Linked DNA regions of Caenorhabditis elegans. The protein of the gene in region 1 purifies or fractionates together with the protein of each later gene. This does not show direct contact. Each region holds a gene or a part of one and is shown in the gene's direction. Other genes may lie near its edges.

Evidence for each region.
Region 2: the proteins of C44H9.5 (region 1) and K08F4.5 fractionate together in Caenorhabditis elegans (co-fractionation; one large-scale study listed by BioGRID). This does not show direct contact.

What each region holds. Positions count from the first base shown.
Region 1 is NC_003283.11:12,843,813-12,853,567, reverse strand, and holds C44H9.5 (uncharacterized protein), read left to right. Parts: upstream 1-3,703; 5' UTR 3,704-3,769; coding exon 3,770-3,824; intron 3,825-4,095; coding exon 4,096-4,544; intron 4,545-4,590; coding exon 4,591-4,684; intron 4,685-5,019; coding exon 5,020-5,145; intron 5,146-5,196; coding exon 5,197-5,291; intron 5,292-5,366; coding exon 5,367-5,481; intron 5,482-5,783; coding exon 5,784-5,867; intron 5,868-5,911; coding exon 5,912-6,013; intron 6,014-6,065; coding exon 6,066-6,370; intron 6,371-6,415; coding exon 6,416-6,649; 3' UTR 6,650-7,477; downstream 7,478-9,755. Other genes in the region: C44H9.7 (uncharacterized protein), read left to right, coding at 78-172, 272-553; C44H9.6 (DUF19 domain-containing protein), read left to right, coding at 8,763-8,793, 8,912-9,054, 9,099-9,408, 9,457-9,591, 9,640-9,731.
Region 2 is NC_003282.8:10,133,719-10,139,586, reverse strand, and holds K08F4.5 (uncharacterized protein), read left to right. Parts: upstream 1-3,669; 5' UTR 3,670-3,722; coding exon 3,723-3,786; intron 3,787-3,935; coding exon 3,936-4,519; 3' UTR 4,520-4,655; downstream 4,656-5,868. Other genes in the region: gst-3 (Glutathione S-transferase 3), read left to right, coding at 1-136; K08F4.12 (Ovule protein), read right to left, coding at 483-598, 1,298-1,463.

The sequences.
Region 1 (9,755 bases):
GTCGCTTTTATGCGCCGTTTGGCATATATTTCTGAAATTCTGTTTTATTTGTGTAATTTGTTGCAAAATATTTTTAGAAGCCTACAACACTTGCTGCAAAGTATATGACAAATGCAAAGAAAATTTTGGGGATGATACAAAATGCTTCAAAGAGTGGGATAACTGTAACTCGGTGAGCAGTTTAATTACTTTGCTCAAAAATAATATTTCTTGACAGATGCTAAATAAAAATTATTTTATATATATTTTCTATTAAAAAAAAATTTTTCAGGGTGCTATCAACAATGGATATGGATCAATCGCAAATGAATGCCTTCCGTATCACCAATGGGTTGCAAACTTTGAGGCAATGAGTAGTATTAAAATCACTGAAAAAGCAAACGACAGTTTCATGGCCATGGTGCAGCAACAATTGTGGATTCTTATTGGTATAATTATTTTTGGAATGATTCTGATTATTTATTCAATCTGCAAAAGACGCCACCAGAATCGGGAATTCAAGTATAAAAGTCATTTGGAAAAACTCCCATTGGCGGACTCGTTATCGCCATAATTAAAATAGTTGTCGGAATTATTTCTTCAAACTGATTTTTTTCTGTAGCTGATTTCTTTCAATAGCTGATTTCTGTTAAAAAAACGGTTAAAATAAATATTAACATTGTTCTTTGATTTTCAAATCGGCGGATGCAATAAAAAAAAACGCTATCGCAAAATAAGAAGTTCGTTATTTGCAGTCGGACGTCAAGACTAACTTTTAAACAAAAAATCAAAGCTTATAAATCGATAAACTACAAGCACAACTCGAAAGAAATTTTGGAGTTAGTGAAGTTTTACCAAGCTTTGATTGCAAAGAAATTGACAAATTCAATGTTTAAAACCACTGGCCCAGTCACGGTTTTTGCGCTAGAACGTTTCAATTTTTCTAGTCAACAACATACCTGTATTTTTCTTTGCGCTGTCTATTATTTTTATCTTTAATTAAAATGATGACTCTTAACAGCATTTGACCTTTGATAAGGCGAAGACATATGGTAGTGGTTGTGTCGAACAAACAAAAATTAGCGAAATTTTTGCTCCGATAGGATGATCATCAATACAATCGGCCGTGTTTGTAACATCATTGGAGTCACTGCTGTGAAAAAACTAAAATTTTCTGAAACGGTAATACTTTTCATATTTTTCTTTCAGGATTGCACTATCTCGCTATTTTTTGGCAATAACACATGTTCATTGCACTTCATGTTTCCCTAAACTGTAAACTGATATAAAATCATAATTTTCTTATTCTTTAAAATTGTCATTTCTAGTTGATTTTTTATTACTTTATATCTATAGACAAACAAAATTTTTCTGAAAGTTGCGAAAAAAACTCAAAGAAACAAGATTCAACGGCATTGACGATCGCCATGCTTGATTAATGACCTATGTGTCATTGCGAAATCTCTCTCGTTTTAATGAGTTTCTTCTCGATTTTCTCCTGGTTTATTTATTTCATTCAAAGTCAAATACAAAGTTATGACAAAACTACAGCTTTGGGACATTTTATAGTTGTTTTAATTATTTTTCGAAAATATCTCTAACATCTCTCTGCCTCCATTATTGTTTTTCACCGCCTCAATTTGAAAAAAACAACGGATATTAGGTTAATCCAATGTGGAGCCAAATCAACGTTGCATTGTCGACTAGTTGATGTTGAACTCGATCGCCTCCATTTTCAGTTAACTTGACATTTATTCACTCAAACATGTCCTTGATGGATCGCTTTTTATTCAACTTTGAATGGTGTATTTTTCTTTTTTTCCGATATTAGTTTTATATGTATGCATGTGTTAAAAATTTTTAAAATTACAGTGAGTGGATCTTTATTGTTTTTCGAGAGTTTTTACCTCATTATCATATAATTTCTTAATTTCTGTAAGGATTTTTCAAATCAGCATTCAGTGCAAAAACTATTCATTTCGCGAAAAATATACTTGTACAGCTTTATAAATTTCATAAACAAAAACGTTTGTGATAATGAAAAGCAACTCGTTTTCACAAAATGTTTTACTATGTGCTAGGATGTGCTATGACTAAGTGTTAATTAAATTTGTTACACGTAACTTTTCATCCGAAGAAGCACCTATATACATTTCAAAGTAACTCTAAAACAAATAGATTAATCACTGGAAAATATATATAAAAAGTCGCGTAGTTTGAAGTGTTCGCCCGGTATCCCATCATTTTGAACTGGCTTGTTCAAAAATCAAGCACCTTGAACAAGTGTTTGCAGACTCATTATTGAGTTTCTTACTTCTATCATACTCATTTTCCTCTTCCTTCCTTTTTCTATTTGTACTTATTATGTTTATAAGGATAACACTAACATGTTTTCAAAATGGAAAATATACTTAAATGCTGCTATTAGTCTTACTATTGTGAACCCTACCTACATATATATCGATGATTAGAGAGACCATAACTATGCCTAACTAAATTAGAAAAATCAGATCTTAATGTCATTTCCAACTACATTCCCTAGATACATTTTTGCGAGAACTATTGGTAATTGTGTATTTACGATTAAGAATTTTTGTTAGCTTTTTTTTGAACATTGGCAAAATTACAAAAATCCAAATTTATTCTTTACCGACTGAACTTATCGAGAAATTTTCCCGACGTTGCTAATTTTTAGTTGATTATTCAAGGTTAGAGGATAATTCATTCGGATTTTCTGAATAATTTTTGAAGATGAACTTACAACAAAATCCTGATATTGTTATTCTATCATGAATTGTCCTATGCCATTCTAATGAACACGTCATACCGAGGACTTTCAAATCCCGCCCATTTCATGTAAAATCAAAAGTATTTTATCAAGGACATTCTACCACATAGATATGTGAAATGTCCAAAAGCCGCAACAAATGCGCACAATTTTATTTTTAGTTGTTTCGATACTTTTTACCGGTAATTGAAACTCATTTTTACAGAACTTTTTTTTTCTGGGATCTCTTTTTTCTTTTGATGCAGCTTATCTCACAATCTCATACCTTATTTTTGTTTTCCGGTTCCCGATCAATTTCGCAATTTTACGTAATTTCGTAGTACTTTTTTCCGTATTTATTTTTAAGTGAGTATTTGTTAATATCTGTTTCAAATGGTCCATAAATATTAGCCAATAAGTAGAAACCATACTACAACAGTTATGAGCGACGCCCATCACATTTTTTCTTTAAACTCTCTTCATCTTACTCCGTGTCTAGCCCTCTCATATAATGTTTGCAGAGCAGTCTAAATCTTGGACTCGCATCAGGCTTGTTCAACAAAACTCTATCTAATTTTATACGCACTATCGAAATCATTTAATTACATTAATTTTCTAACAAATACTTTATTAAAAATTCAAACGGTCACTCAATTTCAAATCGTTTTTCTCTATCTCTCATTCTCTCGCTCTTTCTCTTACGGAACCATATGTTTGTTTCCGATAAACTCTTCATTTTCCCGCCTTGGCAGGCGCTTTTTATGTTTTGTTTCTTTTCCATAGTTACTCTGTCAAAGTTACATTGTTCTTTAATTGATGTTTCCTGCTTGCAAATTGAATTTAGTAATTTTTCTTAAAACCCGTGACTTTGGTTTGCACTGTTCGTTCGCAAACAATCACGTCATTCACCGTCTCTATCTATCATATTCTCGTTTTCATATCGACATTGATTTTCAGTCGCATTATTGGATAGTGGAACATCTTTAAAGCATCGCCGGGTCCACTTTTTATGTGCGTGCCATCATGGTTCTGGAATTGGCCTTCCTTACACTTCTGGCGATAAGTGCCACCACAGCCAGTAAGTTAAATTGTTAAAAAAAATTTCGGAGATAAATAATAATACATATTTTAGAGTAAATAATAATATGGTTAGCCATAATATCTTGTCAGATACATTTTGAACGAACGAACTGTCAATTGTTTTCAGAACTCAAGACTGTTAGCGGATTACAACTAGTAGCATTAAAAATGAACTGAAAAATGATAATGAGGGAAATTTTGTTGCTTTTAAAGATAAATTTAGAAGAGCAGCGAAATCCAAGAACGAATTCACTCAAACTTCTTTATAGTTTCCATCAACACCATCAAATACCCAAATGCTCTCTATCCAGCTAGTTTATCCCGAGGAGGATTCCGAAATGAATGTCCATATCTTTCGAAACGAATTGATTTCTGTGTACCAAAATACGAGGATTGCTTTGGACAATTGAGATCTGTTGAGGACTGCAAATTGGATTACTGCACTTGTATACACGTCAGTGAAGCTACCGAAACTTGCCAGAAACATTTTGGAGACTCTTGTCAGTCGGTGCGAACGAAAGGAGAAGTATACCGAAAGACGATCGCCGAAAATCGAACGAAAACAGTTGTGAATAAACTAGAAGCAATTTTTATGAAACTCTCAGATGCGTTTTCTAGTCTGTTAAAAAATTGTGGCGTGGTGTCAGAAATGGAAGAAAAACTACATCAAGCTGTCAGCCAACTTGACACTCAGAATCCACTTTTGAACTTGACTCTTGTTAGTTTTTCCTTTAATAATTGAAAATTATCTAAATAATGTTCAGAAGTACTTAATTCTTCGTAATCTCGAGTCTCAAATGCTCAACTCTACAACATGCCAAAATTCGAAGACGTCATTCCAAGAAACTCTGGTTAAACGTGGGTTTTTTGAGGTCAAATATACTTTCTGTACTTTTGTAGTTACCGTATTAAAACGGTGAACAAGTCTTTTAATAGCAATAATTCTTAAAATTTTCTCAAAAGTATTTTTTGGAGACACGAAGTTAAAAAAGGCTATTTTCAACACAAATCTCAAATTTTGCACACTTGTCCATACAGAAGAAATTTTACGGACAGTTCGTGTATTAAAGCAATAACCCAGATTTGGCTAATCTACCTTCAATATCATTCTCGATAGATATGAACATTTTATAAATTCCTATTAGATTCACTATTGGAAAATTTAACTTTAAGAGAAAATGACCGATTTTCAGTAGACAGTATGAATGCCCAACGACTGCACATACCATATCCATTCTGGTACATTGGAACTGAATTTGGACCAATAGGAAAAGTGATCATGAGGTCATTGGCGTATGAAACTTGTGATAAAGCGTCTTGTAAGTACTTTTTTACTCTTTAAGAATTTTATGAAACTTGTTAATTTTTAGTGGATTTCAATCATCATAGTGTTGTACGTGTCAACTGCTACGACCAACAAAAAGATCAAAAGGACTGTGATGAAGCATACAGCGAAGGAAACTATGTAATTTTAAAAATTATTTTGTTGGTTTTAAAGAAACAGAATTAATTATTATTTTCAAAGCTATCCAATTTTCAGATGACACTGGGAACAATGGATTCAAAAAAACTGGTTTGCAAGATGTTCGTTGATTTTAATGAAAACTTAAAATCACTGAGAGCTGAGGATTTCTATAAGGAAGCTGCAGAACATCGTAAGAATTTTAATATGAGTTTATCAAGATTCAGATAATTTTAAAATGGATTTTTTTAAAATTAAATTTTTAAACAAATCTCTCGTCATCCCGTCCAAGTTTCTCTCAAAAAATGTTTAGTTTCGATAAAAAGACAATACATAGTTTACGCTGCGCCCGAGTTTAACGCAACGTTGATCCAACTTTTGCCAAACTCTCACCCAAGTTAATTTCTTTTGATTCAAGTTTACATTTTTGGGCGAAACGTGGGCAAGAACAGAGCGCCAAATGTCAAAGGGGTATTTTTCCACTTAATTTTTCAGACAAAGTTTCTTCGACTACAAGTATAAGGGGTCGATTCAATGAGGGATTTACATCATTTGTTGATGGATCGATGACTAGAAGAGGTGTGTTTCTTGGTTTTAGTTCAACTTAAATTATATGTTTTCAGATACAAAAAATGATTTTCTTGTTTTGGAAGCATCTGAAAAATTGCCTCTTCGCCTTCTTGACTACTTTGATAGTGTTTCTTCGGAATGTGGCGCATCGAAAAGTAAGTTACCAAAAATTTAAAAAAAAATTTTTTCAAAAAACTATCTAAACAGGATCTGCAGGTGTTGTTGCTTCATGTGGGTTCATGTTCGAATATTGCATTCAATTTTTTGGAAGAGACTGTCAAACTCGTTTGTCAACTTGTCTGAATGATATTAACGAGATGGATTATACTTGTGAAGATGCAATCAGAAATATTGTCAAAGTTCTGTATCCGGATACAAATGCAACATCAAAGTTGGAAAAATATTCTTCAACTGTTGAAGTTGCCGAGACTGGGTTCATTCAAACAATTGGTGCAATTGGTGCAATTGTCATTGGAATTATTTTTTTTGTTTTGATTACAGCTGTTTTCCTGGTAAGAATATTACTTGTTTCATGAATGAAATTACTTTTTTTCCAGATGAAATTTGAGAAACGTTCTTGCAAACGTAATTCCGGACCCAGTGAGCCACCACATCAAGGTGATGGAAATAGACTTCTTCCTGCTGATAACTCTCCTCTTCATCAGCAATTGGTTGTCATCAACTCAATAAGTTCTAGCTACACGGATCTCAATAATAGCAACGAAAAAAATGTTGAAAAAATATTAAACAACCAAGCTGAACAGCAAGAAGAACTCAAACACTACACCTAATTTACCGACATTCCTAATACGAAAAACCTGTAAATCTGAGATCCTTGGCGTAATCTCTCGAAAAACCGAGAGTTGAAAATGATCTCAATGCAATTACGGATCAATGAATTTTGTATCACGTTACTATTTAGCAAACTGGGAAAACTTTCTTGAATCTTCAGTAGGAATAGAAGTGAAGTTAGTAAATAAATAGTATAGATTGTATGAAAAATTTCACCATCCTAGATTTCTTTAGGAACTTCTTAATTTGAAGCACTATGCAATTTTTTTGGAAAAGAAAATCGAGAAATTTGAAAATCATTACGTTGGCTCAAATATAATATCAGAAAAAATCAAAAAGTATCAAAATTGTCAATAATTAGGATTTTTTATGAGAACATTGTTATTGTAAATTTAATTGCCCGAACCTTGAACAGTTTCTAAAACTAATACCTTTTTTAATAGTTCAATAATTTTTTTTCTTGCCAAGAAACGTTTCTCCAGTTTGATTTTTCTCTTATTTTTTACAAAAAACTGTTTACATGTTCATATTCATTTTTTAATTTTAATTGACTTTTATTTCTTTTTCTTCTATTTTCTGTTGTTTCAAAACTGTTGTACTATTGTACTTAATTGTTAGAACCTTACATTTATCAAACCCGAAATCTCATAATACACCTCGAACATACTCAAGCATGACATCCGGTTTCCTTATTCTTACAATATTTGTCTATAAATCACGGTTGGAGCCAGATAAATTGTGTCCGTTTGGCACAATCATCTGAAACCATATAAGACTATGAAAGTTGTTGCCAGTTCATTATTTGTACAAATAAATATTCTCCAAACCGAAATGATTTTTCAATTTCAGGTTACAAAAACTGATTTTCAAAAAAAAAACACAACAGCTGAAAGTTTGACAACTATGGACTAGATCATTCATACTGAAAGTGATAACCAAGAAAAAAAAAACTAGAAACAGTATTAAGAATGTAATTTACAGTTCAATGCATATTTAATTCTGAAACTGAACATATAATAATTTGTCTGTTTAATGTTTTGCAGAGTTCTCAAATTTGTTCACAAAGCAATTTTTGAGAATATTTCAGTAGTTATTTTTAGTTCTTTGGTATTCCCCACAATGTTTAAGGTCTTCAAATAATACGGGCCGCTTTTTAGATACCGAAAAGGTTGCGAATTGTCGTTTGGGAAAATGTGGTAAATCACTTTAAGTGTGCTAAAGTAAAAAATCAGTAAAAAATGCCCTCAAATCTAATTTGGAAGAATCTCAAAACTTTAAAACATTATTGTAATTTACAAAAATTAGCCTGAAAATTGTTTTAAAAACTACTTCATTTTTTTCCTTAATTTTTAATGAGAACACACGGAACATAAAATGGAAAGAAATATTCCTAATGTCCAGCATTATGATTGAAATTTCTGAAAAATACACAGTGAATACGTTTAAGCATACCGGTGATAAGAGTCTAATTTGAATAGGCAGGAGTGTTTTCATGATAGCATGTCATTCAAATTTATACTAATAATCATCGAAACTCCTTTGCATATTGATTTTATCTAATATTTTTACTTATTTGTTAATTTTCAGCGCTACGATGATAGATGAAATAGATATTTATCAACCCAACTCTATGAACTGCTTTTGGAACAGTGGAACCTGATCACGAATTTGTTATTAGATGGGTTTGTATTAAATATGTATATAAGTATTACGGAAAAATGATTTTTGAAACGCGAAATTAAAAACAAGATGGAAACTTTTTCAAATTAAGAAAAACTACTGAAATTTCAAAGACAGAGTGGAATAATTAGTATATTTTTGCGAGACAATGTTAACAGACTAATATTAAACAAAGATTCGATGTGTTTTATTTGTTTTAATTCTCAGAAAAGACTCATCACTAATTTCAGATGTATCATTTTGCAAAATCACGCCATAAAGTAATGCACTTTTTTTTGATATTGACTCATCGTTGCATGTGTGCTCTAATCAAACCTCCTCTCGTTCTCGGCCTGAAGTACATAAAAATAGTAAAATAACAATAAAATATTTTAAAATTTCTAATAATTTTCAATATTTCAGATTTTGTGACTTTCGAATCACATATTAGCAATGCTGAATCCTTCTCTATTGATCTTATTTGGTAAGTTCCAGTTTTTGTCAACAAATCAATAAACGTAGTTAATTAATTTATTTATTTACGCTCGCGAGGAGACGTGGTTATTTGTTTTAAAATATTACATTTCAAGTGTTTTTTTAAGGTTTCGCCAGCAATGAGTTGACAAAATTCAAAACTTATTGCCCCAAAGAACAAGCCGCTCTCAGCATATGTGGTTCACATAACGAAGATTGCTTGATGACGCTTAAATCGGATTGCCACGATCAGTTGTTGCATTGCATAAATGTGAGCATCATCTGAACTTTTATAATTTTTCTTAAATTTTTCAGGCACTGATTCCCACGAACTTGTCAAAAGGACATCGTTATACCGCACAACAGAATGGACACAGTTTCTGTCATAGCTACTTACAGAACATTACAGAAACCATGGGGGCTGATGAATCTACTAACCGTGAAAATTTGAAATCAAGAATACTGGGAATAACAGAGGAAATAATACATTCCGATGTCTGTGAACTATCGTTTTTCCCAAATCAAACCAAGCCTGTATATTTATCAAAACTGTTTCCGTTGATGGTTTCAAAATCTTGTCATTGTCCTATGAAATCAGGCGGAAATTTAGAATCGAAAACAGAAAGTAAAATAAAAAACTAATTAGATCTGAGATGCTAATAGTTTATTTCAGAAACAGTACAAATATCGAACAAATGGGAAGAAAATGCACCAATCAAGACTTGGTACAGTGTATTTGGAAATCAAAAATGTTTGAAAGAAGTTGATCGGCATCTGGCATATCATCTTTGTGGAGAAGAACAAGGATGTGAGTAACTTCTAATTATTAAAACACAATTATGTAAATCATTTTCAGCTGAAGTATATTATGAACTGGCAAGACTTGCAGACTGCCAGGAAAACTCTATGTTTTCGAATTGTGCAATCGAATTTAGTGAAACAATGCAGGTTTGATACTCAAGCGGCATAAAA
Region 2 (5,868 bases), on another chromosome or scaffold:
TAATTTGACAACGTTGATTAATGCCGAGTTGTTGGATATTGAAAACGATAAACTTTTAAAAGAATTTCGTGAAAAAATAATCGAGACTCCGAAATTGAAGGAATGGTTGGCAAAACGTCCTGAGACAAGATTTTGATGAAGTCATTTTGTTATATATGATGTCCCAAACGCTTATTACATATTAATAAAACAATATGTTCGTGTTTCCATTTTTCCAGCTTCATAATTTTTATATTTCTAGCAAAAATCAAAATAAATAAATAAATAAGTTGCAAAAAATGGAATAAAAGGAATAAAACAAATATTGTTCAAATGTACAAAATATTGTTATTTATTTTCGAATTATCGTTGGAAATGAAAAACAAGTAAGAAAACAGTGATACTCCGCATGATAACATTCATGGCGTCATATTGAAAAACAACTTTCACATCGACGTATTTGCAGACACAATTATTTTAATAAAATAATAAATTTATAGAATCTAAACATTTTCATCACTGCTTTCATTAACATCATCTTCCTCTTCGTGAACTGTTGACAAATTTCTGTCGAATTTTCGAGTCTTCCGTTGAACAGGAGATGATTCTACGATTTTCTCTAAAATTTAAATTTTTATTTCCTAGAAACATAAACCAGTTTTAGTTTGAAACAAATTAAAAAATATCGGTTTAATACTTCCGTGGTGTTGGTCATTTTGTTGATATTTGTCGTTTTGCAGCAAGTGCTCCAAAGATTGCTACATTACAAAAAATTTTTCCGTATTTCTTCTATTAGAAAATTGCTAATTTTAGGAGGCATTTTTAGGATAATACAGAAATAGGGTAGGTAGGCAGGTACCTAGGCTGAGTAGACGGAAAAGCGTAATACTAATTTTTGGACAATTGTTATGTGCTTGAGGTTGCTTGTTTTCATTAACAAGAGTTGAAACATTGAATAGAAATTTAGAATTATTGATGCTAATTGTAAGTACAATAGTTTGATTATATGATGCTAATATATGTAATTGAAAGAAAATTTTTATTTCGGTCAAAACGTCACGCTTACTCTGTTTCTCTCACATAATTTTAGAATTCGAACAAAATAATTTTTTTTTTCACGATATGCCCAACATTTCTCAAAACTCTGAAAAAATGGACAACTTGCCAAACGCTTGATCGATTTTTGTCCTATTTTTTAATACATTTAAATAAACTTCCTAATGGTGCTTTTCAGCTTTCGAATCCTTAAATTGTGAGTTCAAAAAAAAACGGTATTTAAATAAATGTCATAAGTTTGGATGAATGAGTAAAAAATTACCATCAGCATGTGATTCAGCATATCCACTATAATTTCTGACTTGTACCAACTTCTTTGTGATTGAATTAGATTTTTTGAGGCATTCTGAGTTTGATGAGGATATCTTCTGATTCTCCACAGTCTCATCATCATCATCCGCCCATTGAACTTTTCGAGCTCGTGTCATTTTTTATTTGATTGCTAAAAAATTAGAGAAAATATTTATAAATTTTGGAAATTGTAATAGAGAAGTTTAAAAAAGGATATGATACATGCATAAATGTTTTGAAATGATCAAGAATGAATGGAAAACGTGCGGTTTTATAGTCAAACATGAGGGAACTCATTTTGAAAACTGAGAATAATGAAAACAAATATGACTGATAATAGAAGGCGGATTCTATTTTTGAATTCATACATCAAAATTCGAAATACAACAGTTTGTCTGAAAATGACCCGAAAACCATAGGAAGTGACCAAATACAGATCGAATGACAACAGATAGACTAGTTATTTCAGAGAAATTGAAATGGCATGGACATGAACAACGTTTGATTTTTTGAAGAGAAAAATGGATTATGTTATGCAAATCAGACAACGACTTTCAGAGAATTTGGGACAGTGATCAACGAATCGAAAGGTCTCGAGTACCGAAAAAAAGATATGTCAAATGACGGTTAAACGACGTCATCTAAACAAGTATGACTATGAAATCAGTGAAAATTCTAGAATTACAAATCAAATAATCATGTGCCTATTTTAAGTCCAACTGAGCACAGTCTAGCACATTTTAATATCAGTTGTTTGTTTCAAATGAAAAATGTTTAAAATAAATTTCAGGCTTTCCAAATAGAACCAAGACCGCTTTTATGTCTGTCTTAAATGCGAGCCTCTTCTTGTGTAGAAACGTTTGCAACTTTATAATAAATGATTACTATAAACTAAAAATGTTAAACTTGTAAAGAGTTTCAGCTGTGCCACGTAAATCTATAACTTACAAATACCAAAATGTGGACAGATAGGAGATAGGTAAGCACATTGACAGGCAGGCACGTACGCTTTGAGGGACCTTATGAAAACCATTTAATTTAAAATTGGCAATTACGTTTTAAAATGTTAAATTTTTCATTCTTGCCCAAGTTTTTTTCGTTTTCTTTTGAGGTATCTTTTAAATTTTACCCTATTTTGGGTATTTTAATACGAAATTCCTTTTGACGCTAGATCCCCTTTACAAATAGAAAGCAAAAACAAAATCTTTAAATCGAGTGCTTTCAACACAAAAAATTTCGAAAATAGTCCGTTGTTGTGGACATTTCCAATGGGAACATTGTTTTGATATTCTTTGGTGTAACTTCCAGTTTTCAATTTACCCAAAACATTTTATAAGTTGCATACATAAATTATTTAAATTGAACACAATCATAGCACGGATTGTTTTTAATTTCATCTAGTTTATTCCCAAAAAGAATTTGCGGAAGTTATACCTGTTGTTTTTTAATTACAAATAAGTATAGCTAACTTAAGATTTGATTTATATGATTGTTCTAAATATACATAACTGTTCTAAATCAATTTGATCAGAATAAAATATTAACTTCAAACCAAAGGAAAATAAAGAAAAAATTTTCTGCAGAGAATTGAATGAACCGTCATGAAAATGGAAAAAAAGTTTATATTTTCCGTTGCTTGACGCCCCCATAACTGCCAGGGCAAATGACAAAACCAATTCGAATGGGAAAATATTGAATGGAATATGAAGAAAATATATGATAGAAAGATGTGATACATTTATGAATTGAATGTACGTTCGAACTGTCAATATTTGAGTGGGAGAAGCTATATGACGTCAGTTTTTCATGAAGAATATGGCAATTGGAAAACTCACGGCCGACACATCGGCAAGGCTTGAAACATATTTACTCTAATAAAATAATGAGAAAAATAACCAAGAATGGTTGGTACTAGATCTCTACAATTTTTCCAGCATTTTGAGTTTATTGTTGTCAAAATGTCAAAATGTCAAAATGAAGATCAAAATGACCACGGAAGGAAATTGTAAGAAACATTGTACAAAACAAAATTCATAACTTGATTATTACCGATGGAGTTTTAAATTTTTGTATATTGTTAAAATGCACGTACTGGTTTTCATTATTTTGGTACAAAAATTCAGGTTTTTCAACAGAACATTTTTGTCAAGCCTATAGGCTTGACAGAAATATTCATTATAGGGAAGACGAATAAAAAAAAAACTTTTCCTTTTTTTAACTTAAAAAAAATTATCACCAAAATTAATTTCAAAAATAAACTTTGTCATGCTTATCACCACGTGAAATCTGACTTCCCATTTAAAATGAAAAAAAAATCAAAAACTCTCTCATAACGAGATTCATACAACGAAAGATCGTCGAGATCAATTCATTTCTCGATTCTTTTCTAACGTACGATGAGTTCCTTAGCAGAGATTCATGGCTTGGCCCAACTATTGGTATTGGTTTTTACTCTCGTCGGTGAGTTGGATAATTTTTAAAAAAGCTGTGTGCAAATATATCTGCTTTAAAAAGTCGCTAATAGTAATATTTTGCGTGAATTTGAAATCAGGATTTTTTCGCTGAAAAATTACAACAGTCGAACGGAGCTTTACAATTCAATTTTTCAGTTACTGCCCATCTCTGTGGCAAGAAGGGCGCAAAGAACAAAAAGAAGGAGGACAAGACAAAAGCAATGTCGGCTATCAAAACCACCACAATGGGTTCTACTACAGCCAACATGCATCCAGCAGAGCCTGTAGTGGAGAAAAAAGAGGAACCAAAGGAGAAAGTTCCAGAGAAAAAGGAGGAGGAAAAGAAGGACGCCACAAAGAAGGAGGAAGCTAAAGAGGAGAAGAAGGAAGAGGAAAGGAAGGAGGAAAAGAAGGAAGAGTCGAAGGAAGGGGAGAAGAAGAATTCAGGTGAAGAGAAGAAAAATAGTGGAGATGAGAAGAAGGAGGAAGGAGGAAAGAAGGATGATGCTAAGGATGGGGAGAAAAAGGAAGAAGCTAAGGAAGGAGATAAGAAGGATGAGGATCAGAAGCCAAAGAAGGAGATTGTGCCAGAAGTCTTCAAAAGAACTTCTAAAGAAAAAGCGATTGCTGATGGTGTCAAGAAGAAGAAGACGGACTATCCAACTATGGAGGACGTTCCAAGTGATTGGGAGAGTGAGAAGAAAAAGAAGAAGAAGACTGAGGCAGATGATAAGGAATAATTCATTGGAAAAGCATCCTCTTTCTTTTTTGTATATTGTAAAATTATGTATTCTCGTCCTCCATAGCTTGAGGCTTTAGTAATCATGATGACTTTTAATTAATGTTGATTAATTCAAGAAGATGTGAAAAATTTGATTTAACTCTTCGCTGATGGCTCATCCAGTTTGACTCAAAAATTTGACATTGACCGATTAATAGGGCACACAATCCTGAAACTGGTTCCAAACTAATTTTTTGCAAGTATTTAATAATTTCTTTTCAGTCAGTGTCTAATATTTGTTAGCTGACATTTTTTGAAATTATAGTGAAAAAATGGCAATTATTCAGTTCTCAACAATAATAATTGTATAAATCAACCTTAAAAAGTTTTCCAATTCTCATTTGTATTTAGTACTAGTACAGTATTTCAACATTATATAGTATTTCAAATCTGCATTAACACTCAAAGATTGTCAAAATGTTTAAATTCAACTGGAAATCTTGAAAATCTACAAGTTTTTGGGAGGTTATTGAGGCAATTTGTTTGTAGTCTTCAATTAAAGTTCTTCTCGGGGAGTACATGACACATTATCGATAGAGCACGTTTCGAACTTATTTTTTATTTCCACAATCCCCAATAACACGAATAGTTTAAAGATGGTATTGAAAGAAAAGTTTTCGAATTTTTTTTAGTTTTGAATTTTGAGAAGTTTTCATGAAGTTTCATTATGAAATTCGGTGTTTTCAGACAATTTTGAGTCTAATAAAGCAATAATAAAAATTTCCATATCAATTCTACCAAAAGGGCACAATTTTTGTTTTTGTTTCAACTTACAGATTTCTTGTTTCATTCTGTAAAAATTCGTTTTTACAGAATGAAACAACAAGAATAAAAAATCTGTTGAACTAAAAATAGAATTACTGTTTCTGAACGTTGTTATTTTTTACCGTCTCAGAAAACGACCGATCAGTCATTACTGTCAAGTATTTCAGAACTCCATCTCTATAAAATCATAAACTGGTTGGTGTAGATAATCGAGTGATTTGAGACTAATTTTTTCAAAATTGGATTCTTCTGGATTCAACAATGCTGTTCCTATTTGTAGATCAAAGATTGTTGGTACTTTGTTTGAAAATGGTATAGGAGGATATGGTTGATAAGAATACAAATGAGTTGACATTGGAAAACCAGCTGGCAGAAAATTCAAATTTCTTATTTCTTAATTTGAATTTCTCACGGTTTGAGAAAAATTTCTTGTTCTTGTTTCTTGGGCAAAATTTTACCAAAAAATTTCCAAGAAATTTATTTTTAGAGTTTAAAAGCCGAAAGGAGAAAAACCTCAAAGCATGAGAAATTCTGCTAGTGTTT